7 linked regions of the Daphnia pulex genome follow. The protein of the gene in region 1 binds, or shares a complex with, the protein of each later gene. Links are inferred from orthologs where the notes say so. Each region holds a gene or a part of one and is shown in the gene's direction. Other genes may lie near its edges.

Region 1 (3,018 bases):
CATCCCGTCCCGTGCCGATTCGTTCGAGTACGTCATGTTCGGCAAAGTCTATCGCATTGAAGGCGATGAAGGATCGACCGAGCCGTCATCTCGATTGTGAGTTTCATATTTCTTTTTCTTAAATATTCCCTTCATTTGAACGTAATTTTGATTGATGTGGGAGAGAAAATTTCCACACCGGGACGGGGAACCACCCTGCGTTCGCCTGTTGTTGGAATTTTCCAGGTGAACACAGCTGGTGGTATCTCAGTCCTTGTGATATTGGAACAAATCGACTTGTGTTGTTGTTGTTGTTGTCGTTCTAAATAAGAGAGTTGTTGCGCGAACTTTTCTCTTTTTTTTTATTTCGTTGCGTTTTCTTTCCGATGGTTACCGGGGGCAGCCATTACGGTTAAAAAATCCGAACGAAACTGTACATTTTGATTCAATCTCAATCTTTTTGTATCACTTTCTAAGTTTTTTGGTGGACTTGTGACCGACATTCTTTCCCCATGAGGCGGAATAAAAATGCGTTGTCGGCTCTTCCAGTGAAATGGCGAAACTTTGTCCGACTCCCCTCCCATTTTCCAGAAAACATAAATATTCCAATAATAGGAGAAAGCTTGCACCGACTTAGTTTTTAGCCTTTTATTTTTCAATTCCACGAATCGGTCTTTGACCCAGGACTTCTGCGAATTATTCCTAAAACCACTCGCGTTTACACGACAACTAGAAACGTACTACGTGATTGACAGGGGGCCAATCATTTTAAATGGTGAACCATAGCGATTGATATAGCTCTTTAGAAAAAGATGAGGAATTGCCAGAGGCGAATTGACGTCAGCTACTACTTTTGGCCATTTGTATTTGTGGAGAAGCCTCGGCCTACTCCGGTAGGCCTGGCCCACCACCGACTATATAAAAGCCAAGTGGGTGGTAGAATGTTAGGACCATTTGGAATTCGACCTCTGACCCGGACGGTGTGGCTAAGAAATCGAGAGCGGGGGCCCCTCGTTGAGAAAAAAAAGCTGCGCTGAGAAAAAGAAGAAAAATTATCGTTATAATTTATTAGTTTTTTAGTTTTTAATTTTTATTGGTTGTTGTTTCATCATATGTGTGTGTGTGTCGATTTTGTGTGTGTGTGTGTTTCGTATTGCATGCATCGTTGATTAATTAATTGATTGATTGATTGATGATGTGATGTTTTTGAGACCCAGTCCATTTTCTGTCTGGAGTCCGTACCACAAGTGCGTTTGCCTTTAATTATTTCGTAAACGAGGTAAATGCATTCTTCTGGTATCGTCACTCTTTTCAGCCATCATCATATTTCTTTGCCCCCCTTTTTCTGATGTTTTTTGTTATTGCTCGTATTTTTCTATTAAATAAATTGAGAACACAAATTTCACTTGGTTTAAAGAAAAAATCGAGAATCGCACAACGCGGGGGTTATATAAATAAATCACGCGAGGTGATATAGGTTTAAACTCGGGAGTGGCAAAGGTTGTTCGGTAGGATGTCGGTTGTTTTATACGACCGCATTAGACACCTAAAAAAGCAACAGTTTCTTCCCCCTATCGATCAGCTCGTAAATCTAGAGGCAGCCACCGTTTTAATTCGTGGCTTTGGTCGTGAAAAGACGTTAATGATGCGTGATTAATAACTTTGTTTGACCTGAAAACGTAACAGGTATACCCCAAGGGCGGTTGTTAAAAAAGAAGGAATCAAGTTTTTCCAGGACGGAGAAGAGGAAGACATGATTTTGTTTTAAAAGAAAAGGAAAAAAGCTTGTATTGGTTAGATACGTTCGTCTTGGTTTAGTTGACGAAATGACGACGATTTCTTTTTCTTCGAACATCTTTTTTAATTTGAGAATGGAAGGGTGGGGGGGGTCGATGTTTTTCGTCGAACCGTCGAAGCAATTCCCTATGGATATTAATTGGTCGACGACGTTTAATAACGCCTATCGTACGATTTTTTCTCGTCGACATGTTGTGGTGTGTGCCCATCTTTCTCGTTATAAAAGGACTTTGCAAATGTCTCCATGTCACAGTCGAGTCTTCGCTTCTCATTGAGCCACAAGTGTCTTGATGCAAGTACAAATTGTTTGGGCAATAAGTGTATTGATGGTTGGCAGTGTGGTTAGCTGGTTGTGAAATATTTACTTGAATCCACAGCCACTATCCAAACTGTCCACTGTCGATGACACGATATTCGACCAAACTACTAATGATCATGTGTGCCCTTAATTGTATGTTTTTGTGTATCTTGATTGTTTTCTTTTTTAGATGATGGGTAGTGTTCGGTAATGATTTTCTTTATTGATTCGTGCAGATCTGCCTATGCGTCGTACGGAGGATTGCTGATGCGTTTGCAGGGAGATGCCAACAATCTTCACGGATTCGAAGTCGATCAACAAATCTACCTGTTGATTAAGAAACTTGCGTTTTAAAAAGTGGTATGCAAACTTATAAATTACAAGTTTGGGATACGAATGAATGTACTTCATTATTTCTTTGAATACACTTGCATTTTTTTGTAACTAATAATGTTTCGACTTTATTTTATTAGTAAACGAATTGTTGTAAGTATAATAAGTTCTTGTATTCTTTTCCGTAATAGCGTAATCTTTTCAACTTGATTTTTGCATTGATAAAAGCCAAACTACAAATGGGCAGAAACCAGAAGGGCAAGTCCAGGTTTTCTTCAATGCTCATTGCAATCCCCCCCTGCAAATTAAGCATGGCCGAGGGCTTTGAGTTTTTCCACCATCATGTCGACGTTCTCGACCTTGGCACCTGCAAGCCGCACGGGTGGTTCCTCGACCGTGACTACTTCAATTCTTGGGCTGACGTCGACGCCTAAATCCTTAGGCGTCAGTTTCTTAATGGGCTTCTTCTTGGCTTTCTAAAAAGAAAAGAAATAAAAAACTTGAGTGAAAAATCGAGGGCATTTGTGCGTATATTAAAAAAAGTACCATGATGTTGGGGAGAGTTGCGTAGCGAGGCTCATTCAGACGCAAGTCGGCGCTGACGACAGTTG
Region 2 (3,961 bases), on another chromosome or scaffold:
TAAAGGGCTAACTTATGCTTACATTCCTCTCGAAACGAGTGGTGCGATTGCACGCGACACAGACAGCACTGGATTAGATGAACCCACAATTACAACAGCAATATTGTTCCCAATCTTTGAAAAAAAAACCAATAAACTTTAGTAGAAAAAATTTAGTAATGCAACTGATAATGAATTTAATACTTGAGTAACAGGACATGACTCTAGCTGATCAGCATAATAGGTCCAATAACTTGCAGCTGGAACAATTTCATGTTGGATGCAGTAGCGTAGAGGTTTGCCAAAAGTGGTTGAAAGAGCCAAACCAAGAAGTTTTTGATATTCAGGTTGACTTAATAACATCCCAAGTCTTTAGAAATAATTGGTGATTACAAATACAGAAATAACACATTTAGACAAACATATGATACTCAGTCATTTTGGCAGATGTTTCTAGCCATTGGATGTGTGACCATTTTCTTTGTCTGTCTTGCTTGAGAGCTCTCACAAATTCTTCAAAGTCACCATCAACACGTTTCATAATGGAAACATTCTTGGCCAACTCTTGATGAACAGAGCTAATCATGAGGAACTTGCCCCAATTGGTCCCTTCTCCTTGGCTAGCAGGGACACTTAAAGGTGAAGTGGCAACCCAATTCTGTCATTTAAATAAATTGATGATATGAAACTATGAAGAAATTACATCGATTGTTTTACTTTAAAATCGCGGTCGACCTCCATGCTGCTTTTTCCGTAATTAAGCGTAGCTCCTTTTACAGCTTCAAGAATGTTGACCATCTCAGGATGAGTGTTTAGCTCTAATATTTCTTCCTGTAAAAGTTCAGCAAACGAATGTTATATGGAATGTTTGAGATAATTTATGGATACACTTAAAGATAATTCGATCGTACGCTTTATTACGGAAATTACGTTGTCACTTGCCAGCTGTTTGTCTCTGTCAAAACAAGTTGAAATATCGTGCGTGAATACAGCTGTCACATCTTACCTGAGTCATTATGGCAAAACAACTTTAACCACAACTTTCGTTTTCATTTTGGCTTCGAGTTAAAAAAAAATCCTAATAATAAAATTTATAAAATGTTGCTCGTTTTCGATGTTTGGAACTATTATTTTAAATTTATAAATGTATTAAATCGTAAAGAAATTTGACAACGCTGTAGGCTAATAGTATCATCGCACTAGCAGACTGATAAAAAATCAGCGCGAGCAGTGAGAGCTACATTGATGAGACAACGTGGTCTTGGCCGTTTTTTTTCAGTTTTAGTGATTGCAAAGATCACAAGCACAGAGCTCATCACTATAGTAAAATCAGAAATCGTTAAGAGTTCGAGAACCAAGTAGTTTTATTTTTTATTATTGTATTAAGTAAAAGAAACGATAGCCATGGCGAGTACGAATTGCTCCCAGTTGACTCCCATACCACAGTCCATATTGAAACCCAGTTCGCGAATCAGTATGCAACCCAAGAAACTTTCCCAGCCTTTGCAGGTCCGATTTGACTCCTTGGTCACAATTGACGTGGTTTCAATTTTGAAGGATTATATCGAAGGGCGAAGCGAAGTGAAATATCACCAATTATTGAATCTGAAAAATGATCCTAATGTCAATGTAAGTAATTTGGGGAAAAAACTGGACGTAGGATTACAAGATTACGAACTAAGAATTTTTTTATTTTTAGGATGGATTTTTACTCCTGATTCTTCAACAAGTAAACAGCTCTATCAGTCTGCTGACTCCAAAAGTTGATTCCTTTGTTGATGCATTGCTGCATATTTCATGGACAACAAGACAGCCCCCAGTACTTGATGAATATTTGACATTTCTCCAAACACTAGTTTCAGCACACACATTCTACTGTAGATCAGTAGTCAAAATGCTAGTCTCACATCTGACACTTAATTCAGACTGTGAAAAATCTACATCGAATGTGCATCTAGTTTTGAGGGGAATTTTGCAGCTGATACCATTGTAAGAGCCCTGTAATTATTTGTTTCCAGGATCAAGAAAATAATGTTTTTGTATTGACAGGTCTCAAAGTATTATTTGGGATTCTTTAAATAATGGTTTTCCCTACATTGGATCAAGCAGTTGCAATCAAGTAAACTACATCAGAAATCTTCTACATTTTGTTGAATACCATGAAATGTCTGGACCCCGTGTTTTACATCTCATCATTGGAAGGTATGTCAGTCTTTAATTCATTTATTTTAATTAACTAATTGAATAATTTTTGTATAGAATCATTAAATTGGACAGCAGAGTTTCAAGAGAGGACTTGCTACAAAAATTCAATCAGCCTATGGAGTTTGATGAGGATACAGTCTTGAATCAAGCTTCTGAAACGTTAGACGAAATCATGAAAGTTATGTTTGAGTTGTGTCATCGCAAATGTCATAGCGAATGGATTGTTCATCGGAATTTTTATCAGGACATGTACGCTACGTTCGAATCTTTGATACTACCGGCCGCCGGTATCCATCATGTCCATTACTTGATGTTCTACATATGTAGTACCAAAACTGCTCTCTATGAAGCTTTTACTGAGCGCTTGTGGGTCATTTTTCTTACCCCTTCATCTCAGTTGAATATTCGAAAATCGTGTGCCGATTACCTTGCTTCGTTTTTGGGGAGAGCCTCTTTTGTACCCATGAAGTACGTTCACATTTGTGATAATAAGACCAATCAAACCAAACATTAACTCGTGATTTCTCTAAAGGTACGTCATTGACTGTCTGGATCGAGTGTGTCAGTGGATTCACGCATACCTCGATCGGCAATCAAAGGGTGAGGGAGCAGCTGTTTTTAAAATCCGAGCCCATGCAGCATTCTATGCCGCTTGTCATATTCCCTTCTACGTTTTGGCTGCTAGGCATCGAGATATTGTCAACGACAGAAAGCGTACGATGATCGTTCTTTCTTATTGTTGGAATTCAATTAACCTTTTGATCATTTTTGCAGTTCTCGCCCGATTGCAAGCCCTGGATTTGAACCGAATTGTCAACTCACCTTTGAACCCACTACGCTATTGTCACGCTACAACTGTCAGACAATTCGCAGAATCCGCTTCACATCTGCAGGTTGTACCACTATCAATCAAGTTGATTTGTAACGTAATTAACCGAAATTCTCGTTTAGATTGTATTCTGTCACACCATCATGATTCGTAATCAGAGGGTTTGTATACCTGAAGCTACAACTGACACATTTGTCATGGATACAGAATATCCATTCGAGAAATACCTCTTGCCCTCATCGATGGACTTTGTGTCACCTCTTGTTATTGACAAACCTATCGGTCGTGACGATTCACTCTACGACAGCGATCAGGTTATGGAGGAGCTTTTGTCTGAATCACCAAGAGTTGGCGGCTTTATGCACCACTTCATGGGTTGATTTCATCGATATTGTCGTTGGTAAAATCTAAAATTTACCCCATTTTCCCTGTTTCTTTATTTTCTGCAATTCTCTACATCTTTATTACCATATGACCGTCTTTTCCCATTCGTGTCGGTTAAATTATGTATATTAACGTGGTATATATTCACTCGATCGTGCCTATTTGTTGGAAGACCGTTGAAATTAACATTTTTTCCTTTTGGGTCTTGGTCTACGGATTAATCATCCGTTACGCTATTCACAACTTCGGGAGCTGATCACTGCTGCGGTTTTTCTTCGTAAGAACATTATTTTTCCTTTTTCTATACTCGATCGTATTGGGCGGCTTGGGACGTACGTTGAAATTCTCCTTTGATTCGTGGGCTTGTTAAATTTCTTTTTGTCTACTCTCCCGATTACCGCAATGTTATTTGCTCTCCCCTTCGATTTCGCCGTTTCCTATTCAACTTACAAAGATGTTGTCGCCAGCGTGTAATGAAAATTAAAGTTTTCGTGTAATTCATTTGAAAAAAAAAATTGCCACTTAAAAACCAGTTCCCTTTAGTGAGAATAAAATTCAAGTGAA
Region 3 (2,556 bases), on another chromosome or scaffold:
AAAATTATTAGGTCATGGAAGAAATTGAGGCAAACGGAATTCGTATTTACCCACTTCCCGATTGCGATTCGGATGAAGACGAAGACTACAAAGAGCAAGTTCGTCAGCTTAAAGACGCAGTGTATGTAATAATTCATTCAGACTAATAACAATTATAATTCATTCATAATAATAATAATAATATAATTCATTTATTCAGACCTTTTGCTGTATGTGGGGCCAATACGTTGATTGAAGTTAAGGGCCGAAAGGTCCGCGGACGGCAGTATCCATGGGGTGTCGTTGAAGTTGAAAATCCTGAACACTGCGATTTCATTAAACTCCGAACGATGCTGATGTAACTTGTTTGACTCGTCAAAGATCGAAAATCTTGCATTGCACTAACGTTTAATTCTTTCATTATTTAGTCAACAGCTACAAGATTTACAGGAAGTAACACAAGATGTTCACTATGAGAACTACCGATCAGAACGTCTTGCTAAAGGTGTAGCTTCGAATCGAAAAACCGCTGGGCCAACTAATTCCACCGCGCCATCGGCTGCTCCGGAGCAGATTAGTGAGAAAGAAAAAATACTTCAGGTTAGTAACTATTGTGTTATTAATAGACAATGGAAATAGTGTTTCGACCGTTTGCATCATTGTTTTGTTCTCACAGGAAAAAGAGGCGGAGCTACGACGTATGCAACAGATGTTGGCTCAAATGCAAGCACAAATGCAACAACAACAACCTCAATAGCACTGTGCGTCGTCTTTAACAGCAATTTTCAGTTGTCACTTAAACCAAAAGGAATTCTTCTCTACTGTTTTGACTGTTTATTCAGCTTTGATTGCTGTTTCAACACCCTTGGCACTCTTACCTTCCAATGTGAAGATCTTAGGTTTCCTCGATAAAATCCCATTCAAGTGCCAACATTTAACAAATTCGCTGTGCTTCATTATTTGGTCACTTCACTAGTAATTTTCCTCATTTGCGTACATTCGAATTTTTCTTCCATGTAGGGCAATTAAAGCCCAGATGCGCCTCGAATATCCTACCCAATCATTTTCTTTTTAGTGTCTCGGACTCTCGGTACTGGTCGCAGTATTTCAATATACAATTTTTTCAGACTCTTGCTTCCTTTTTCCCATTAAAAGATTTAATTTTTCTTAGTTTTCTTGAAGTGAAACCAAACCTTTATGAATGGAAGTCTTGTAAATTTTTATATAATGCGCCAACAAACTCCTTTCCCGCTCAATTTAAGACGCCACCTACCGACGCCAATCAAAAGCTGGAAGTGCTGAAAGAAGATGCCAAAAATCCAAAATGGTGATCAGACGATCAGTTACTTACTTACTTTTTACCAATGGGGCAAGATGGTAAACGTAACTAAAGGAATTCTGGTAATAATTTACGGTAAAACTTATAAATGCCACTTGATTTATTATATCTTTGTATTTGAAGTATGGTATTTTAACTTACTTCAATCACTAGTGAAATTGACTGTGCTGGTAAAAGTTTCTTGTCAGAAAGAAAGCACAAAATATTCGATCGGACTATCCCGTGGAAATAGTCATAGATTTAGAAATTAATAAGTATCTCAGGTGGCAACTTATAATGGTTTACCTTTTCTTTACATGGTGCTTAATTGTTAAATTTATACTTGAATTTGTATTATTACCCAAAGGTTGAATGTGATGCTGCTATGAAACAATTGCTTCTTCATTTAGACGAGACACATGCTCTAGGCAACAAATTCATAGTTCAAGATTTGGATGAAACTCACGTTTTCATTGTAAAATTTAAAAAATACTTCTATTTTCTCATATTTTGTATTTTTATCTTTTTGACATTTTCTCTGTTAGGCACCTGAATATCTGGAAGTTTTGCAGTCTAGAATTGATGATTTGATGGACAGGATCAGTTTTCCTTTGGCAGAAAGAGAAATCGAGTAAATTATCTATCATCATGAATTCATCTCAGAGAGAGTCAGCCCGTCAGAAGGATGCCAATTCCAGAAGGGTTTTGGATGAGGCAGCTCGTAGGAGAAGAGCAAGGAAAGCATTGGAAGCACTTGAGCAAGATAATTTTCATGATGACCCTCATGCCAATTTAGGTATTTTTGTAAGTTGGCTAGTTTTCAGATCTTTCATTAATTCTGGATATTTATGCAGTACTAAGCAAAAAGATCCCCAAGTTTGAAGAGTCTCTTGATGGTAAACAAACAAGAAGAAGGAAATCTAAAAATTTCGAAATTTTCAAACAACGGTATTTTGTTTAATATTAATTGCTGAAACGAAGTGTAATTCTATTGAAGTAATTTCTCCTCTTTTACAGGTTTCGAAAATCCTTTGCACAGCTGTTGGAGGAAGAACAGGTTAATCGCCCAGAGCCCCCAAATTATGTTTCAGCTCAAGTTCCACCATCTAAGTTTCCCGAACGTCATTTTTGTGCTGTTTGTGGATTTACTTGTAGTTACACCTGTTTATCTTGTGGCGCAAGGTACTGTAGCGTCAAATGCTTAGGTACTCATCAAGACACGCGTTGCTTGAAGTGGACCGCCTAATAATATTCCATTG
Region 4 (4,017 bases), on another chromosome or scaffold:
AATTATTTAGAAAAATGAAAAATTAAACCAAGCCGTACCTGTAAAAATTCGGCTCAACTTCTTCCGCTCTTAGGAAATACTGCAGTGCCTCTTCGTAAGAAGATACGGGCGGTGTAGCAAACAAGGTTGAGGCAATTTGCCTCTGAAGCCACGGCAATTCAGCAACAGAAAAGCACCTAAAGTTGCACGAAAATGTGTTACGTTACATACAAAAGAAAAGTTGTTATCTTGTCATACCAGTAGCCTAGCAAATGAAATGAAGTTGCATCCTTTGGGTTGAGTTCACACGCTCTTTCTATGTGTTTCTTGACGACAAACGATTGAGAAATGCGCTCCTTTAAGCCCTCGTAGGACGCCTTTTTATCTAACAAAATAAACATCCACTTGTGAGCAGCAAAGTTTTCCGGATCAATGAGCAGCGCCCCTTCAACATAACCGTATGCTTCAAAATCTAATTCTTTTTGTTCAATTGGACTGGACGATAATTTCGCTACTTCATACGTCGCTCGTGCCAGTCGCCAAAGAATTTCGGCATTATCTTCGGCCTAAAAAAAGTTTTTCCAACATTAAAACAGAGACTGACAAATCAGTTTATTCTTATTACCTTGTAGGGCAACAGAAGACTTCTCAATTTGGTGTAGGAATGCTCATTGTACAAGACATCAGCTTCAGAAATAAGATTGGTCTTATTTTCTCTTTCTTCATCAACTTTTACACTAGCAGAGACTGCAGGTAACAAACCCAGCATCCATCCTGCAGATTAACAAGTTATTGATTGTTTTTGTTACATGAATTCAAAAATTAGGCAACTTACCAATGTTTCTTGAAACTAGAGCTGGTTTCTTAGGAACAACATTCAGGAATCTTTTCCTGTACACAACAAATGCATGGTAAACTATTCCATATATTTTTCTCCCAGAGAACGATAACACCATGACGAACGCTTTCCACAACAGAAAGAAAATAAATGACGAAAAACGAATTAGGCAGTTGAGAATAGATAGGTAATCTAATTCCATGGCGACCAAAATTGGAACTAACGAACTTCAATAGTTGAAAAATGAATAATCATTTACTTTACTTGTAATATTACTTAACAATTTAGACCTCTTTATAAAAAAACTTTTTGATTGGCCATTTTTGGATATTTTAATAAGGTAAGTGAGAAATAGCCTTTCACAATTTATCATGTGGTTCAAGGCGGGAAGTCGACAGTGCAGTCTCGACGTGAAAAGAAAAGAACTGAAGCAGACGAAAACTGAACTGGGTCGTCGTCGACTATTTTTCTTCAGTATCGGGTCGGGTATAAAATTCGTTGGCGCTGTTTAAAGTGTCCCAATATTTTTTGGCATAGAAATTTCGATCACCACCCCTTAATTTTGGCCTATAATTTAGTAACGTGCATAGTTGGGTTAGTTATTTACCATTCGTGACGAACTTGTGACGAACACATCGGTGGTGTGTCTCGATCATTGTGTCGCCGGTGAGAAGTTGTTTTGTCAATCGTTTTTCACCGTCACATCATAATGTCTGCTGTTAACAAGGTACAATTTTTTTGTCTTCTCAATCAGTTAATTCAATATTAATACATGTGTTTCTCAAGACTCCTACTGGTGGATCAACTCCTGCTGCTACCAGGGTAAAGACATTTTGGTTTTTAATTAATTAGTTCAACATAATAATATGTGTTACATTAGACTCCAGCTGCTGGTGGATCAGCTCCTGCCGCTGCTGCTTCTAATGTTCAGACTATTGACATTCGAGTCCCCAAGTAAGAATATCAGACATTACCATCTAGATTTTTGCCTTCTTAAACCGAGTTTATAATGTTGTCACAGGAACATAAACAAAAAGCTTGCCATCATGAGATTCAATGGCTCAATGGGTATTGACTTTGTACAATGGAAAGATCCAAAAATGGAAAGGGAAAACAACCAAGTCACATTCAAAGGGTTCAATGAAGATATGCCAAAGTTTGGTGCTGGGAGTGAATATGGCAGAGAGGCTCGTGAGGAAGCTAGACGGAAGAAGTATGGCATAATAAGCAAAAAGTATAATCCTGAAAACCAGCCTTGGATTTTACAACATGGGGGAAAAAGTGGGAAAAAGTTCAGAGGTATACTAAAGTTGGAAACCAAGCTAAGATAGCAATAAGAAAGTTTAGTAATGTGCAATTATATTTATTTTATTAAACAGGAGTAAGAGATGGTGGCATTAATGAAAATGCATCGTACTACGTTTTTACGCAAGCACCAGATGGTGTGTTTGATGCCTTTCCTGTGCAAGAACAATACAGTTTTCAAGCAGTTCAAAATTACAAACCACTGAGTATTGAAGAAGCAGAGGAAGGGTACAACATGAGGAACAAAACATACAACATGTTCAATGTCATGATGAGAAAGAGACTAAGGAAAGACGATGAAGACGCCGAAGAAGAGGGCGAGGAAGAAGGTGAAGGCAAAGGAAAGAAAGGCAAGAAAAAGAAGGGAGCTAAAGGTAGGCAACAAGCAAAAGTTCCACCATAAATAATGTCACAAAATTATAACAACTTTTGCATTCAGATTCTCGTTTTGGTGATGAATTGGACGATATGATGGCATCTTCCGATGACGATTCTAGCGACGGCAATGATGATAACGACGACGATGATGGAGAAAGTAAGAAAAAGAAGAAGAAAGGCAAGAAACCTGTTAAGCCGAAGAAGAAGCGAAAGAATGCGTCCGATGATGAAGCTATCGAAGATAGCGATGATGGTGATGGTGAAGGCAGAGAGTTGGATTACATTTCCTCTTCCGACGATGACGAAAGGTATGTCATTAATCTTGATGCATTTGTCGATTTTCTAACACACCCGCGTTGTTCTTTAATCTAGTGATTTCGAGAAAGAAGAAGCAAAGGACGGACTAAAGGGTGTTGCCGAAGAGGATGCTCTCCGCAAGTTGCTTAACTCGGACGAAGAAGATGAAGACGAAGAAAAGGAGGAAGAAGAAGACAAAGACAAAGAAGAGGAAGATGCTGAAGGTGCCGAAGACCAGCAAGGTGATAAGGCTTCCAAAGACGAAAAAGGCGACAAAAAGAAGAAGAAAGAAAAAAAGAAGAACAAGGATAAAAAGCCCCGCAACGAGGATTATGGTAATATCCATTTAAAAACATCGTGTGTTTGAGTCAAATAATAACGAAACATTTATCAGGATCGTCAAGCGACAGCGGTGCCGAGAGCTCAGCATCCGAACTGGAGAAAGCTAAACCGAGCCCAAAAATGAAACCGTAAGTGCAGTAATTTGGTTTCCTGACAGTTAACTGACAAACTATTTCTAGGGGGAGTGCCAACAGTTCTAGATCAGCTACTCCGACGAAACCTGAAACATCGCCGCCTAAAACAACGCTATCAGATAGCAAGCGAAAGGGAACACCTGCAGTGTCCGATGCTCTTACTGGCCAAGCAACAAAGAAACCTCGATTGGACATGGCATCCGCTGCTTCAGCTGCCTCTGCCGCTTCAGCTGCATCATCATCTAGGTATTTATAAATAATGAACTAAAATTAATCCTGAAACGTTATGTATATTTTTTCTTTTACAGTGCCAATGAAGGAGTCAATGAAGAGTCTGTTAGACGTTATTTATCCCGCAAGCCAATGACAACGACCGAATTGCTTCAGAAGTTCAAAAGCAAGAAAACTGGTTTGTCGTCGGACCAGCTTGTCCATCACATTGCACAAATTTTGAAGAAGATCAACCCCGTGAAGCAGACAATTAAAGGGAAGATGTATTTGTCGATTAAGGCTTAGCGACAATAACGATGATTGGTGTGTTCTGTTTGTGCTGCAATCACTATTGCTACTTTACTGAAATTATCTCAGGCCTTCCCTTTACGGTTTATAAAAACGGACTAGAACGGTTGTTAAAATGCGTGATTTTCGGAACGATTAAACAAATTTGCAGTTGTAAGTTTTGGTATTATTTCAACAAGTTATCTGTTATTGGAAACACTTCACATTTTTAGATGAAAAACAGCC
Region 5 (3,409 bases), on another chromosome or scaffold:
ACAACTTTACTTTCATAAAAGCTCATAAAATGTTTTCTTACTCTTTGATTTTATTATGAAATAAATAACAATGAAAGAATCATAGGTTGAATATGAAATATCTTTTAATAAATCGCAATAACCGAATTAATAGCCTAATATTTAATTCACACATTTTCTTAATCACCTTGAATGTACTAATTGGAATACAAATTGCAGTTTAAAGTGCGATAACCGCAACTTGGGTTATGACTTTTATTCTCTGTTCGTTTGCATTCGACAAGAATATTTAGACTCACTATAGCTTATACTCACCAGTGTAAAATGATCAAATTTAAAATAGCCTATTCGTTCTTTCTTCGGTAGATAATTTCTTTCAATTATCTTGGACTAGTGTATACAACTTTCAAACTAAAATATATGTTTCTATTCTCTCGCACTGTCCATTTCAAAGCGCAATCAAGTATGTTGTATATTCGATCACGGAGTGGAGTGCTGGCCTGGTCGTCAGCTTCTTGATTCCGCCACCAGCGGCCACCATGAGAAAGGGAAACCCGTTTAGAATTTCAAATTGCTGTGCTCTTTTTATTTTTACCGTTTCGCCATCTCTTGTTTAGACAAATCTATGTTATACATGTATAGCAATTCGTACTAGTGATAGAACTCAATTATAGTAAAAGGAGTTAGTGGACGGACATTGTCCCCCCACAAGACATCGCCTTAAGTACCAATCTAGTTGTTATAACTTTCTCGATTTCGTAGAATTGTTTGATTTTGAATCCAGTTACAAGTGGTAATACATATTCCGATCGAATCAGACCAACTAGTACAAAAAGAGGTTTCCCAGTTTCTGCTTTGTTTCAGAGGGCGATTATATACTTGGCCAGGCATTCCGGTGATTTCGTACTTATTAAAATTCCAAACATTCCGAATCACTTCTCACGGGGCGTTATGAAAAATACCACATTATTCCGCGTCTGAAAGTTACACAGATAGACGTCCTGATTTGCAAATTCCTATAAATCTAGAAAGGCAAGAAAATAATAATAATAATAATATTAGGGAATTCATACTGAAACAAATTTGAGATTTGAGCATTGAGATATGCAATCAGGGTTACATTTGAGGAGGAGTAAAAAGCTAAATGAAAAAATGTTGGCCAATCAAACTATTTCCTGTTAAAAGCTTATTAAAGGGATTGTGCAACAACAAATTTGATCAGTTATTTTTTTTAAGGCCATTAAATTTCCATGCCATTTCGATTTTTGGGGGGTTTTATTAAAGAAAAATGCGTTGACGAACTGATGGTTGCGTAAACTTATCTAATAAAACAAAAGAACGCGCTCTGGCGCGATTTATAGCAGACGATAGACTTGAAGACCTTTTCAGTTGTGTGACGTTGTCGATTGAAAGAAGAAACGATTACTTGTTTTATTAAAGCCGGCCAATATTTAGAACTACATTCTCTTGAATAGGTTTTTCTAGTACGTTGAAGCAGAATTTTTAAAACTGAAAACCATGGAGTCAAAGAAAAAGGAGAAAGAAAAAGAGAAAGACAAGGAGAAAGACAAAGATGTCATCGTTTATGAAAGGGAAATGGAAATGTCTTCAGCTAGTCGGGGTGTTTGGTTGGTGAAAGTACCAAAATACATTTCAAGTCGATGGGATAAATGCCCTGGAAATATTACAGCTGGACAACTGAATATTACTAGGTATGCATCAATTGGTTTATGTTAACAAATCGACAAATCCTTTATTAACTCATTACAACTCTTGTTCAGGGTGCAAGGACAAAAGTCTCAAGTCAAACTTATTCTGTCGGAAGCTATTATGTGTCTCCAGGAAAAAGGAGAGGAACCTATTCCTAAAGAGCATGGATTGATTGTTTCACACATTACTTCACAAACATTGGGTGTATTTTCTCAACAAACCAGTACGTACTACTTGACAGTTATGGGGAAGATTTTTATTTTAGGCCTGAGCTTAAAGCATGATATTTAAAGTGGCGTGCTTGCAATTAATCTAATTTAATATTGACATTTTTGTATTGTTTCCCCAGCTCCAGCCACCGCGAACTCACCTATGGAAACTGAGAAGATCATATTTGAAGGCAAAGTTGCCCAGAAGCTTGAATGTAGACCAACAGGTGAGACCAACAAAATAAAGTTCCTAAGCTTGAAGTGAGCATTAATGATTTTTATTTTCATCAGCAAATGCAAGTTACATGAAACTCAAAAGGGATTCTTTGATTAAAGCTGCCCAACCTACAAGAATTGTGAAGCAATTGGATCGAGTGGTTCAAAGTTACAAACCCATCTCTGACCACAAGCATAATGTAAATATAGCAATTCTCGTCTATTTTTGGTACATCATAACCTTTTATTCCTGATTACAGAAAGAATTCGACGAAAAGAAGAAAGCTGAGGGTAAGAAAGCCAGAGATGATAAGGGCAAAGTTATGGACATGCTGTTTGCAGCTTTTGAAAAGCATCAGTACTACAACATCAAGGACTTGGTAAAACTCACCAACCAACCTGTGGTAAGAAAAAGTTGTTTTCATACAAGCATTTGCACTTTTAAAACCCTCTGCTTTTATAGACCTACCTCAAGGAAATTTTGAAGGATGTTTGTGTATACAATTTGAAGAATCCTCACAAAAACATGTGGGAACTGAAACCGGAATACCGCCACTACAAAGATGAAGACAAGGACTAATAAGTAAACAGTCCATTAACTTTCTAATAAAGCTGTGATTTTCAGAAAACTACTAAACAGCTCTTGGATGCACATAACTTCAGATAACTCAAATGGGTTTCAACTGCCCTTGAAATTGTTCGATAAAATGTTCTCTTAGGCTACAATTTTCCCTTCGTCTAAAAATTCCCGTGCTAACAAGTGTGTGGTCCAATACATCGATGCGAACTTGAAAATTTTACCAATATAATTTATCCCAACCATATCAGGAAGAAATGATTTCATGAGCGAGTTCAGTGCGAAAAGTAGGCTTATGTGCTAACGAGGAACCCCTTTTAAACAGAATCGTAAGATTGTAAAAACAAGAATCAAGTAAAAGGTTACATGTTAATATTTACAGCTTTTCATGGTACCCTACTTACAGTTAACATTATATTATCTCAGTCAAAAGCCATAATCTATTAGAATAGCAACAGCCTGTCTCTTGATGAGATTCATCATCCAACCATGATTCAACCAACAATTTAACGCTGAATATAGTTATCTACAAATTAATTTGTTTTAATTTTCACTAGTTACAATTTGCCAGAATGTAATTTTAAAAATTGTTTATTTGTCAATATAGATACTATAAAATACACCAAACAGAATTATTTCACCAGGAAATCTGCAACTTCAGGTAGCGATGTGAGGGTTCCTGTACAACAACAGAATAAGAATTAGCATTTCAACATCA
Region 6 (4,297 bases), on another chromosome or scaffold:
AAATCCCGGTTCGTTCGCGCCACACTCGTGCGTCGTACTTGGATAGTGATGACGACATTGCACCCGTCAAGACTACCGGTACCACGACCAGGGCGCGCTACAGTGCCGCTTCGTGTTTGGATGATGATGCTAACGGAGAACCCGTCATGAAACTAGAGGTAAATTTATTTGAGCGCTTTGTGAACCACCCACGTATTTTGCATAGCGTAGCATATCTTAAAAATAGTTTTATTCTATAGCTGATAGAATAAGCTCAAATTATTAGAAATTACCGTTGGGTTCTAAGTTTTGATTCTATAAGTTGACTACATTTTTGTTTGATCAATTAACAAACCATTAGCTCACTTTCAGGATATCGAAGAAGATTTACGCAAATTGCGTGAGGCGACTTCGTCAGTGCTCAATCGCTTCGCCACGAAGACCAACACCCAACCCTCTACTCGGTAACGAACAAATCAAATTTTCACGCAAATGAACCAGATGGTATTTAATGAATATCAATAGTTTGTCTCGTTTCTTTTCGAGCTATCTGAACGATGATAAGGATTACGAGAAGAGAAGCTCAAGTTACAGCTCTGATAGCTACAGTCCTAGCTACAGCAGCTCGTATGCCAGGCCGTCGTCGATAAAGCCGGTCGACTCTTCATCTTACGATCCGCCCGTCTACGATAAGCGCTACTCAATGTACTTGTCTAGCCGTTCCACTAACAAGGATTCGGATTTGGAAAAAGACGCAGCAGGTAAACCACATCCTCTACCAATTGTAATTTTTTTTGTTACCTGCAAATGAACTTCTTAATTACAGGAAAATCTGATCGAGGACCGATCCCGCAGGCAACAGCAGAACCGGAGTCGTATTCGAGACGTAGAACACCAAGGGCTTCAGCTTCAAGCGACGATAACAGCAAAATCAATTCACGAATTGCTGTCATGTCCAAATACATTCTTTCAAAGAATAAGACAAAAAATTAAATAAATGACAAAGACGAATACATTTTTTTTTTCATAGATGGTTCAGTCTCAGGATAAATGCCCCATTTATTCTCTCTCCTCCGAAAGAAATAATTTACCCATACATTACATGTCTGTAAAATGCTGACGTATTAGTTTAGTTCGGACTGTTTGATACGCCGAATATACTTCAGCTTATACCGTAAGTATCGCGCTAACATCCAAGCTAACTGTTTATATCGTGTACAGTTACTGTGTCTAACGTGTATGTGTTATTTGCCTCAGAAAAAATAGAAATATAAAAACTCAACAAATTCCTTGAAATACTATTGGAAATAGGATTTTCTTTTTTTGAGAGGAGGGTGTTTATTGGCTATCAAAATAATATTTAATTTCTTATTATTTACCTTTACCCTATAATATATGTCCGTTTGTTTTCTAGAAAAGCGGTTTCGATTTGAACTGAATTAAACTGAGAGACGGTGGCGAGACGGTGGCGACATCTTGCAGTAAATTTTAAAAATAAATAAAAGCAGACGACACTTTTCACAATAGTCATTATTTGCCAATTTTTCCCTCGTCCAGACACGTGTTAAAGCTCAACGGAAAAATGAGTAAAAGTAAAGTTAAATATTCATCAAGCAAGGAATACATTGATGAAAGTAGGAATGAACTCGTGCTGACAGAATTCGAAGTTCTTAATGTAATACTACATAACAGAAATCTTCCTAAGTTCAACCAAATTTAATAATAAAAATAACTATTTAGGCTGAAGCCACAGACTTCCCAGGAAATCATCATGGGTTTGACGACAGTTGGAGTTTTGAAAAGTTCAAAAAGGTTCTTCTAAGAAAAGTTCTACACTATAAGTAGATAAAAAGAGAGCATTACCATTTTTTCTGATTTTGTAGAGGCTCAAAATTAACATTGTCCGCATGGAAAATATGGAAATGGAGTTTGATTTGATTGGTGTTGATCCAGCCATACCAAATGCTTTTCGTCGTATTTTGCTGTCTGATATTCCCACCATGGCCTTCGACAAAGTCTTCATGTTCAACAATACCTCAATCATCCAAGATGAAGTCTTGGCCCACAGACTGGGACTGATACCATTGAAAGCTGACCCAAGATTGTTTGAATTCAGAGCTGAAGGTATACTCCAAACACCCATTCTTTTCTTTGTCACCTTACTTCATATAACTGAATCTTTGTTACCCCATCTCTCATTTTAGATGATGATACTGGGACTCCTGAAGATACACTTGAATTTGAGTTAAAAGTGAAATGTTCGTGGAATCCTCAAAGGACTAAAGATCATACAAATCCTGAACACTTGTACAGGGATTTCAGAGGTAAGAAGGGAAACTCAAACCTTTTTTTTTCGACAGAATGCTGACCTACTTTTTTCAGTTTTGACATCTCATTTGAAATGGATTCCACTGGGTGGCCAAAAAGATATCTTTACCCCTGATGCAGTTGGACCAGTTGACGATAACATTCTAATCGCAAAAATGAGACCTGGTCACGAACTTGACATCAAATTGCACGCAATGAAAGGGACCGGACGAGAACATGCAAAATTCTCACCCGTTGGTTAGTTTTATTGTTTTTTTTTATGATTAAGAATTTTTGGACCGAGATTTAAACAAAAACTATTTTTCTATTTTCTCAAGCTACCGCATTTTACCGTCTCCTACCACAAGTGAAACTTCTTAAGGAAGTGGAAGGTGAAGCTGCCCAAAGATTACAAAAGTGCTTTTCCCCTGGGGTTATTGATTTGGTCGACTCAGGTTTGCTACATACTATATTTTTTCTTCTAGCTTAATTAGTGTGAAGCACTACCTTTTTATTCTATTTCAGGTGAAAAGAAGGTTGCCAAAGTCAACGATGCCCGATATGACATCTGCAGCCGCAACGTATTCCGTCACGAAGATCTAAAAGAGGACACTGTAAAGCTGACCCGAGCACGCGACCATTTCATCTGTAAGTATTGTTATTGGATTTTTGCTTATTCCTTACTTTAGCGATGCATTTGAAAATGTGTTTAGTTTACATCGAGTCTACTGGAGCACTGGCGCCGGAGGTCCTCTTCACTGAAGCCGCCAAGATCCTGTCACAAAAATGCCGTGTATTTTTGGATGAATTGAAGAATGGACTGTAGGAATGGTATCCTAAATAGACGCGTTGATTCATGACGATTACGCATTATTAGTTCACCTGGAGGCGTTTGTGCCGTTGATATAGTTATCACCCAGGATTCCAGCCGAGTGACCCAGAACTGCATTTAGAAACCGAAACCGGAGCTTTTCAAACGGAAGGAAGGGAAGACTTATTTAAAAAATTTGAGGGGTGGAGGCGAGCAACTAATTCTTCCTGGTTTTACGGAAGGATACCTATCCTTTTTCATATGTTCCTTTCCATCGCTATTTTTATTTGCCTTCTGCAACAATGGCTTCTGTTTGTTTCGCTACTGGTTTTACGAAACGTTGGCGCTAGACTTGCTAGATAAGCTGTAGTAGCCTCTTATTGACCTTGGATCCTAAGGTTTTGATTGTTTTGGATGTGAACCGAGATGTTCCTCCTTCTAATGTTCTTCTTCCTTCCTTCTCACATTTTGTTTACACCGCCAATTCGTTTTAGCCCATTGTGGAATATGCGTAGGTGGTGCCAAGAAAGTCTAGGCAGATGAGATGAAGGAAATGGGAAGAAGAACAAGAAGTGTATTCTGTTTTGTTTTTTATCTCCTCTCCCTTTCTCTTTCCCTTCTTCTTCTTCCTATTTTCTTTTCTCTCTTTCTCTTAAGTCTATTTCTCATTGACCGTGGCATCTAAATTTAGTGCTCGTGGAAGCTTGTGGAAGCTTGCGAGCTTGTGGAAGAGTTTTGTTTCGGACGTAGAGCACTCGGGTCGCTTTCCATCTCCACGTTCACTACAAGTACAGTCGACGACGCACTCTGCTTGGTGGCCGGACGAAAGAAAAACCGTCTCCCTCAATCAAAAGACCCCTTTCCCCCATCTGGGCCGATCGTGAAGTTGTTAATTAGGGAGATCTTTTTTCTCATTTGGACTTGGCTGGACAACAGAAATTGGGTAAGAGAATGCCTCATATAAATTTATGCCTATGATTGTCTATTCATTTTTATTTCGGTTTTGAACCCCTATCGTTTCCTATTTTCATTCTTCGGATCCGGAGAAGACGATTACGCAATGGCAGGCTACTACTCCAGTCAACGAGGATATGGTGGCTCCTACGGTAGCTCCTATGGCGGTTCATCATCGTCGGCCTACACGTCATCCCTGCGTAGCAACTATATGCCGGTAAGTCTCCCATTATTGGGGCGGTTGAA
Region 7 (3,781 bases), on another chromosome or scaffold:
TTGGTATCTAAATTTAAGTATTGACCGTAGACTCTCAGAGCGGAGGGCGCAGAAAACCAGTTTGAATCCTGTGCATCTTTGGGCAGCTCTTCATCCCGTAGCTGATGAATTATAATATTTTTAGCGAGAAGAATGACAAAAGAATCAGGAATATACTAAATACCTCTAAAAGTTCGTCCAGAAAACCAGAAGCGAGAATATCCTGTATCCTGACTTTGCCTAGCTTTAATGGATCTAGGAAAAAGAGGAACTTGCGTACGGCGGTACAGACGTAAAACGAATGGAATGACTTTTCAAGCCCTTCTAACTGTGGCAATGTTGGGATAAGTTCAGTTATGTAGTTCTCTAAATCCTGGGAAAAACAAAAATAGATAAGTAAATTACATATTGCAAAAACAAAAAACATATTGCTGATGTTCACCATTTCAGTAAGCAGACCTTGTCCTGTGGCATCATATAATGAAAGACCAATTCTAGTTTGCTGTAACCAAACTTTCCTCATGATGTAATTGAACACTGCCATGGTTGATATTCTGCCATGAATATCATTCTGCAATAGCCTTGCAAATACATCTGGTGTAAAGAATGCTCTGTATAGGGGAATTCAAAAAATAACTTGGTGTTCCCAATCAAATATTTACATGTCTTACTTATATTTTGGACCAGCTATGTTGCCTACTTTGAGAAAATCAATATAATTGATCATCTGCTCAGAACCAGCAGGAGGGCTGTGATTTTTGTCAAGTAAAGTCCAGAGATTCTAAAGACAGGATGAAAATCTTATTTACCAGTAGCACAAACACTGGCAATGACATTAACAAACCTGCAGTTCATTGTTATCGAGGAGTTCTTTGCTCTTCTTCTGAAGGAATGCTGTTCTAGCTTCTTCTCTCAGTTTAAGGCTAATCATGTTTTCATGATTAGGAAGCTGTGTAACAAAAACATAAGAAATTTATAGGGAATCAATTGGAAGTTATGCTTACTTTGGTATAGAACTTTGGAACTGGCATGCTTTCTTCCGAGCATTGCTTGCTATATTTGAGACCTTCGGAATACAACTTTTGGAAGGTATCTTCATCTTCGGCGTTTAAAACCAAAATCTCGGATTTTTCATCCATCTCGTTGATGAAAATCAACGAATACTGAGACTTAGGCCGCTAATAAAAACGTTTCTTGTTCATTCGATTCAAACGTGTCGAAACGATAACAAACGGCTTTACTTTTAGCAGAAAGAATGTTTTTTTCGACCGCTAGATGCTATGCTTAGCCAAAATCACGCTTCGTGGCGCTGCCATCGGGGGCATTTCGATATATATTGCCGCGTCAGTCTTAGTTTTCATGTCGGCTTCCTGTTGAACGAAGCCCTCCCGGAATTGAAATCAAATAAAATTCAATTTCGTTAAAGAATGGCCGCCAATCAGGCACTCGTGGTATTTATTTACCTTTTACTTTATGATAATATTTCATGGGGAATAGTACCTGGAAACTGTTGTTGCATTGACGATTCCACTCCACGAGCTCGATCTCACTCCTCGTTGGTCTAATTAAGGACTTTTATATTTCTTTTTTTGTAGTCGAAACTGTATCGTGGCGTTATTGAAGATGTTATCAACGGGGTTCGAGAGGCGTTTCTTGACGAAGGAATCGATGAGGCTGTACTTCTCGAATTGAAGCAGAATTGGGAAAACAAATTGCAGTCCAGCAAAGCAATCGACCCTGTGACCGATCCTGCTGAAACTTCTCTCCAAAGCAAACTGCAACAAAGTATCCAATATCGATTATGAGACTTTATCATGTATGAAAAAAGGGTCTTCTTTGCCGTCAAAAGCAGGTCAGCAGGCTAGCTCTACAGCTCCTGCGAACAATTCTACACCTCAACAGGCAGCCACTACGGCAAAGCAACCAGGTAGTTGGGTATACTGTTACATTGAGTGCATTATTATTAATTGTTTTGTTTGTTTGTTTTTATTTTCTCTAAAGCAGCAGCAGCAGCCCAAACCCCAGTGACTACCCCTAATGCAGCTACAGGTGCAGCAACAACAGCAGCAGCTGCAGCCCCTGCTACGACAACAGTAAGGACGGTGCCAGTCCAAATCACTGTTCCTCCTCAGGCTGGAGTAGCAGGTCATACAGCAGCCAAGAGCATCACTGTTCACGTTCCAGCTCATGCTCTTCAAGGTTATTTCCCAATTGAATCTCGTTCGTACTAGCTCCAATCTAATTTCTTTACTATTTGTAATAATGTCACAGGTGGCGCAGCGGGAGCGCAGCTGCAAACGATCCTGAGTTCACCGGCTGTGACGGCGGCTCTCTCTCTTCCAGTTGAAATGGCCACGACTGTCTTGCAGCAGCACATTAATAACGCGTTGCAGGTACCATTGGTTGAAATTGAATCCACTCGAAAGTGTATATAATAATGTGTGTACAATGCATTATTACTTTTCTTTGTAGTCGACAGCTGCACGGAGCCAATCGCGAACTGACAATGGAGGAGTCACACAGTTGGATGGACCCGGAGACTCTTCGGACGACGACGACGATGTTGAAGATGATGACGATGACGACGTGGAAGAAGAGGACGATCATGACGACGAGGAGATTGACGCAGACAACGAAGAGAACGCAGACGAGGAGCCACTCAACTCTGAAGACGATGTGACTGATGATGATCCCTCAGTGTTATTTGAAACTGATAACGTCGTCGTGTGCCAGTACGACAAGGCAAGGATTTGAATTTTAGCATTCGAATTGGAATTGAAATGTTTTAAATGACTTTTTTTTCTATTTGTAGATTACGAGAAGTCGAAACAGGTGGAAGTTTCATCTCAAGGACGGCATCATGAACATTAACGGTCGCGATTACGTCTTTCAAAAGGCCAACGGTGATGCAGAGTGGTGAAAATATTCAAGGTTGAAATTGCGCTACTAGGGGAAAATCAAGATAATGTTTCATTTAATACAATCCGGAGGAATTTCGCTTTCAATTTAAGGATTTTTCGTGTGCCTGTGCGTGTGCATGTGCGGAATTTCTTTTTTCATGTCGGGTGTTGGATGAGCGGTGGAGAGGAAAAAATACCTGGGGACAAAGAAACAAAAGCCATTCGTGTTTGTCCTCCCTCGCTTCTTTTGTTTCGTTTCTCTTTTTTTGTTAACACACAAAACTTTCCGAATTCTTTTTTTGTCTCATCTTTTCCCTGTTCGCTGCAGAAGCTGTTGTCGCCCCCTTTTGATTCAGGAATATTTAGAAGAAGAAGAAAAATATATGTTCAAATTACCAAGAATTGCAATTAGTTTTCGAGAAGATTCTAATAACGTGACCCAAAACTAGTCCAAGACCCAGGGGACAATGTTACTAATTACGGTACCGAAAAATTCTTGTAATCGTATACAGTTGGTGGTGGACATTTTCAATGTTAGTCGGAAGAAATCTAGATTAGGTTGTATACATGGGAAGTCATTCAGGCGAGCGTACGGGGACTTGAAAGCAAATAACCAAGTGGTCAAAAGCTTACATCCGTTTGCAGTCATCACCGGGGAATTGCTCATCCAACTATTGGATTCGGTACACGTTAATGGAGTTTCTACACGATAGCAGCGCGGTAGGAGTTGTTGGCGTCCGCCAAAAAGTTTCCTAGAGCCGTTAAAAGGCAACCAGCACAAAACTAAACGAACTTTGCTGTTGCCAGGACCTTAGGATTCGACCTGCTGGACTCATTATCAAAACTAAAAAAAAAACGAGGGGAAAAGTTTCAACAAGGACGGACTGGGGCGTTCTTCCATC

Evidence for each region.
Region 2: DNA-directed RNA polymerases I, II, and III subunit RPABC3-like (region 1) and RNA polymerase I-specific transcription initiation factor RRN3-like share a complex: the UniProt entries of both Homo sapiens proteins name them as parts of the pol I pre-initiation complex. The link is inferred for Daphnia pulex from reciprocal best matches to the Homo sapiens genes POLR2H and RRN3.
Region 3: DNA-directed RNA polymerases I, II, and III subunit RPABC3-like (region 1) and general transcription factor IIH subunit 5-like share a complex: the UniProt entries of both Homo sapiens proteins name them as parts of the TBP-based Pol II pre-initiation complex. The link is inferred for Daphnia pulex from reciprocal best matches to the Homo sapiens genes POLR2H and GTF2H5.
Region 4: DNA-directed RNA polymerases I, II, and III subunit RPABC3-like (region 1) and general transcription factor IIF subunit 1-like share a complex: the UniProt entries of both Homo sapiens proteins name them as parts of the TBP-based Pol II pre-initiation complex. The link is inferred for Daphnia pulex from reciprocal best matches to the Homo sapiens genes POLR2H and GTF2F1.
Region 5: DNA-directed RNA polymerases I, II, and III subunit RPABC3-like (region 1) and general transcription factor IIF subunit 2-like share a complex: the UniProt entries of both Homo sapiens proteins name them as parts of the TBP-based Pol II pre-initiation complex. The link is inferred for Daphnia pulex from reciprocal best matches to the Homo sapiens genes POLR2H and GTF2F2.
Region 6: DNA-directed RNA polymerases I, II, and III subunit RPABC3-like (region 1) and DNA-directed RNA polymerases I and III subunit RPAC1-like share a complex: the UniProt entries of both Homo sapiens proteins name them as parts of the pol I pre-initiation complex. The link is inferred for Daphnia pulex from reciprocal best matches to the Homo sapiens genes POLR2H and POLR1C.
Region 7: DNA-directed RNA polymerases I, II, and III subunit RPABC3-like (region 1) and transcription initiation factor IIA subunit 1-like share a complex: the UniProt entries of both Homo sapiens proteins name them as parts of the TBP-based Pol II pre-initiation complex. The link is inferred for Daphnia pulex from reciprocal best matches to the Homo sapiens genes POLR2H and GTF2A1.

What each region holds. Positions count from the first base shown.
Region 1 is NC_060023.1:10,147,956-10,150,973, forward strand, and holds the end of DNA-directed RNA polymerases I, II, and III subunit RPABC3-like, read left to right. Parts: coding exon 1-96; intron 97-2,310; coding exon 2,311-2,428; 3' UTR 2,429-2,518; downstream 2,519-3,018. Other genes in the region: electron transfer flavoprotein subunit beta-like, read right to left, coding at 2,713-2,883, 2,954-3,018. UniProt on the Homo sapiens protein: DNA-dependent RNA polymerase catalyzes the transcription of DNA into RNA using the four ribonucleoside triphosphates as substrates.
Region 2 is NC_060026.1:14,530,097-14,534,057, reverse strand, and holds the start of RNA polymerase I-specific transcription initiation factor RRN3-like, read left to right. Parts: upstream 1-1,161; 5' UTR 1,162-1,383; coding exon 1,384-1,608; intron 1,609-1,678; coding exon 1,679-1,968; intron 1,969-2,028; coding exon 2,029-2,181; intron 2,182-2,238; coding exon 2,239-2,652; intron 2,653-2,716; coding exon 2,717-2,898; intron 2,899-2,958; coding exon 2,959-3,077; intron 3,078-3,135; coding exon 3,136-3,393; 3' UTR 3,394-3,961. Other genes in the region: uncharacterized protein LOC124203933, read right to left, coding at 23-114, 184-349, 411-637, 697-777. UniProt on the Homo sapiens protein: Required for efficient transcription initiation by RNA polymerase I (Pol I). Required for the formation of the competent pre-initiation complex (PIC).
Region 3 is NC_060021.1:7,407,973-7,410,528, forward strand, and holds general transcription factor IIH subunit 5-like, read left to right. Parts: upstream 1-1,278; 5' UTR 1,279-1,287; coding exon 1,288-1,380; intron 1,381-1,664; coding exon 1,665-1,772; intron 1,773-1,842; coding exon 1,843-1,932; 3' UTR 1,933-1,960; downstream 1,961-2,556. Other genes in the region: septin-1-like, read left to right, coding at 12-121, 200-337, 408-579, 1,961-2,093, 2,152-2,245, 2,315-2,543. UniProt on the Homo sapiens protein: Component of the general transcription and DNA repair factor IIH (TFIIH) core complex, which is involved in general and transcription-coupled nucleotide excision repair (NER) of damaged DNA and, when complexed to CAK, in RNA transcription by RNA polymerase II.
Region 4 is NC_060018.1:350,396-354,412, reverse strand, and holds general transcription factor IIF subunit 1-like, read left to right. Parts: upstream 1-1,217; 5' UTR 1,218-1,526; coding exon 1,527-1,544; intron 1,545-1,603; coding exon 1,604-1,639; intron 1,640-1,697; coding exon 1,698-1,771; intron 1,772-1,838; coding exon 1,839-2,116; intron 2,117-2,196; coding exon 2,197-2,496; intron 2,497-2,561; coding exon 2,562-2,808; intron 2,809-2,872; coding exon 2,873-3,132; intron 3,133-3,191; coding exon 3,192-3,267; intron 3,268-3,318; coding exon 3,319-3,519; intron 3,520-3,581; coding exon 3,582-3,789; 3' UTR 3,790-3,949; downstream 3,950-4,017. Other genes in the region: regulator of microtubule dynamics protein 1-like, read right to left, coding at 39-176, 238-545, 605-753, 815-1,044, 1,108-1,190. UniProt on the Homo sapiens protein: TFIIF is a general transcription initiation factor that binds to RNA polymerase II and helps to recruit it to the initiation complex in collaboration with TFIIB. It promotes transcription elongation.
Region 5 is NC_060025.1:406,076-409,484, forward strand, and holds general transcription factor IIF subunit 2-like, read left to right. Parts: upstream 1-1,343; 5' UTR 1,344-1,497; coding exon 1,498-1,691; intron 1,692-1,760; coding exon 1,761-1,912; intron 1,913-2,038; coding exon 2,039-2,125; intron 2,126-2,189; coding exon 2,190-2,314; intron 2,315-2,374; coding exon 2,375-2,518; intron 2,519-2,577; coding exon 2,578-2,694; 3' UTR 2,695-2,909; downstream 2,910-3,409. UniProt on the Homo sapiens protein: TFIIF is a general transcription initiation factor that binds to RNA polymerase II and helps to recruit it to the initiation complex in collaboration with TFIIB.
Region 6 is NC_060020.1:1,790,205-1,794,501, reverse strand, and holds DNA-directed RNA polymerases I and III subunit RPAC1-like, read left to right. Parts: upstream 1-1,497; 5' UTR 1,498-1,561; coding exon 1,562-1,654; intron 1,655-1,719; coding exon 1,720-1,791; intron 1,792-1,862; coding exon 1,863-2,103; intron 2,104-2,183; coding exon 2,184-2,303; intron 2,304-2,361; coding exon 2,362-2,544; intron 2,545-2,624; coding exon 2,625-2,741; intron 2,742-2,811; coding exon 2,812-2,934; intron 2,935-2,999; coding exon 3,000-3,112; 3' UTR 3,113-3,117; exon of another isoform or gene 3,118-3,146; intron 3,147-3,195; 3' UTR 3,196-4,030; downstream 4,031-4,297. Other genes in the region: uncharacterized protein LOC124192222, read left to right, coding at 1-158, 352-443, 505-740, 806-972; sodium/potassium/calcium exchanger 1-like, read left to right, coding at 4,158-4,268. UniProt on the Homo sapiens protein: DNA-dependent RNA polymerase catalyzes the transcription of DNA into RNA using the four ribonucleoside triphosphates as substrates.
Region 7 is NC_060018.1:12,590,407-12,594,187, forward strand, and holds transcription initiation factor IIA subunit 1-like, read left to right. Parts: upstream 1-1,283; 5' UTR 1,284-1,406; coding exon 1,407-1,430; intron 1,431-1,574; coding exon 1,575-1,764; intron 1,765-1,807; coding exon 1,808-1,906; intron 1,907-1,977; coding exon 1,978-2,178; intron 2,179-2,250; coding exon 2,251-2,372; intron 2,373-2,451; coding exon 2,452-2,721; intron 2,722-2,791; coding exon 2,792-2,899; 3' UTR 2,900-3,281; downstream 3,282-3,781. Other genes in the region: serine/threonine-protein phosphatase 2A regulatory subunit B'' subunit gamma-like, read right to left, coding at 1-101, 164-352, 422-590, 651-760, 824-928, 984-1,118. UniProt on the Homo sapiens protein: TFIIA is a component of the transcription machinery of RNA polymerase II and plays an important role in transcriptional activation. TFIIA in a complex with TBP mediates transcriptional activity.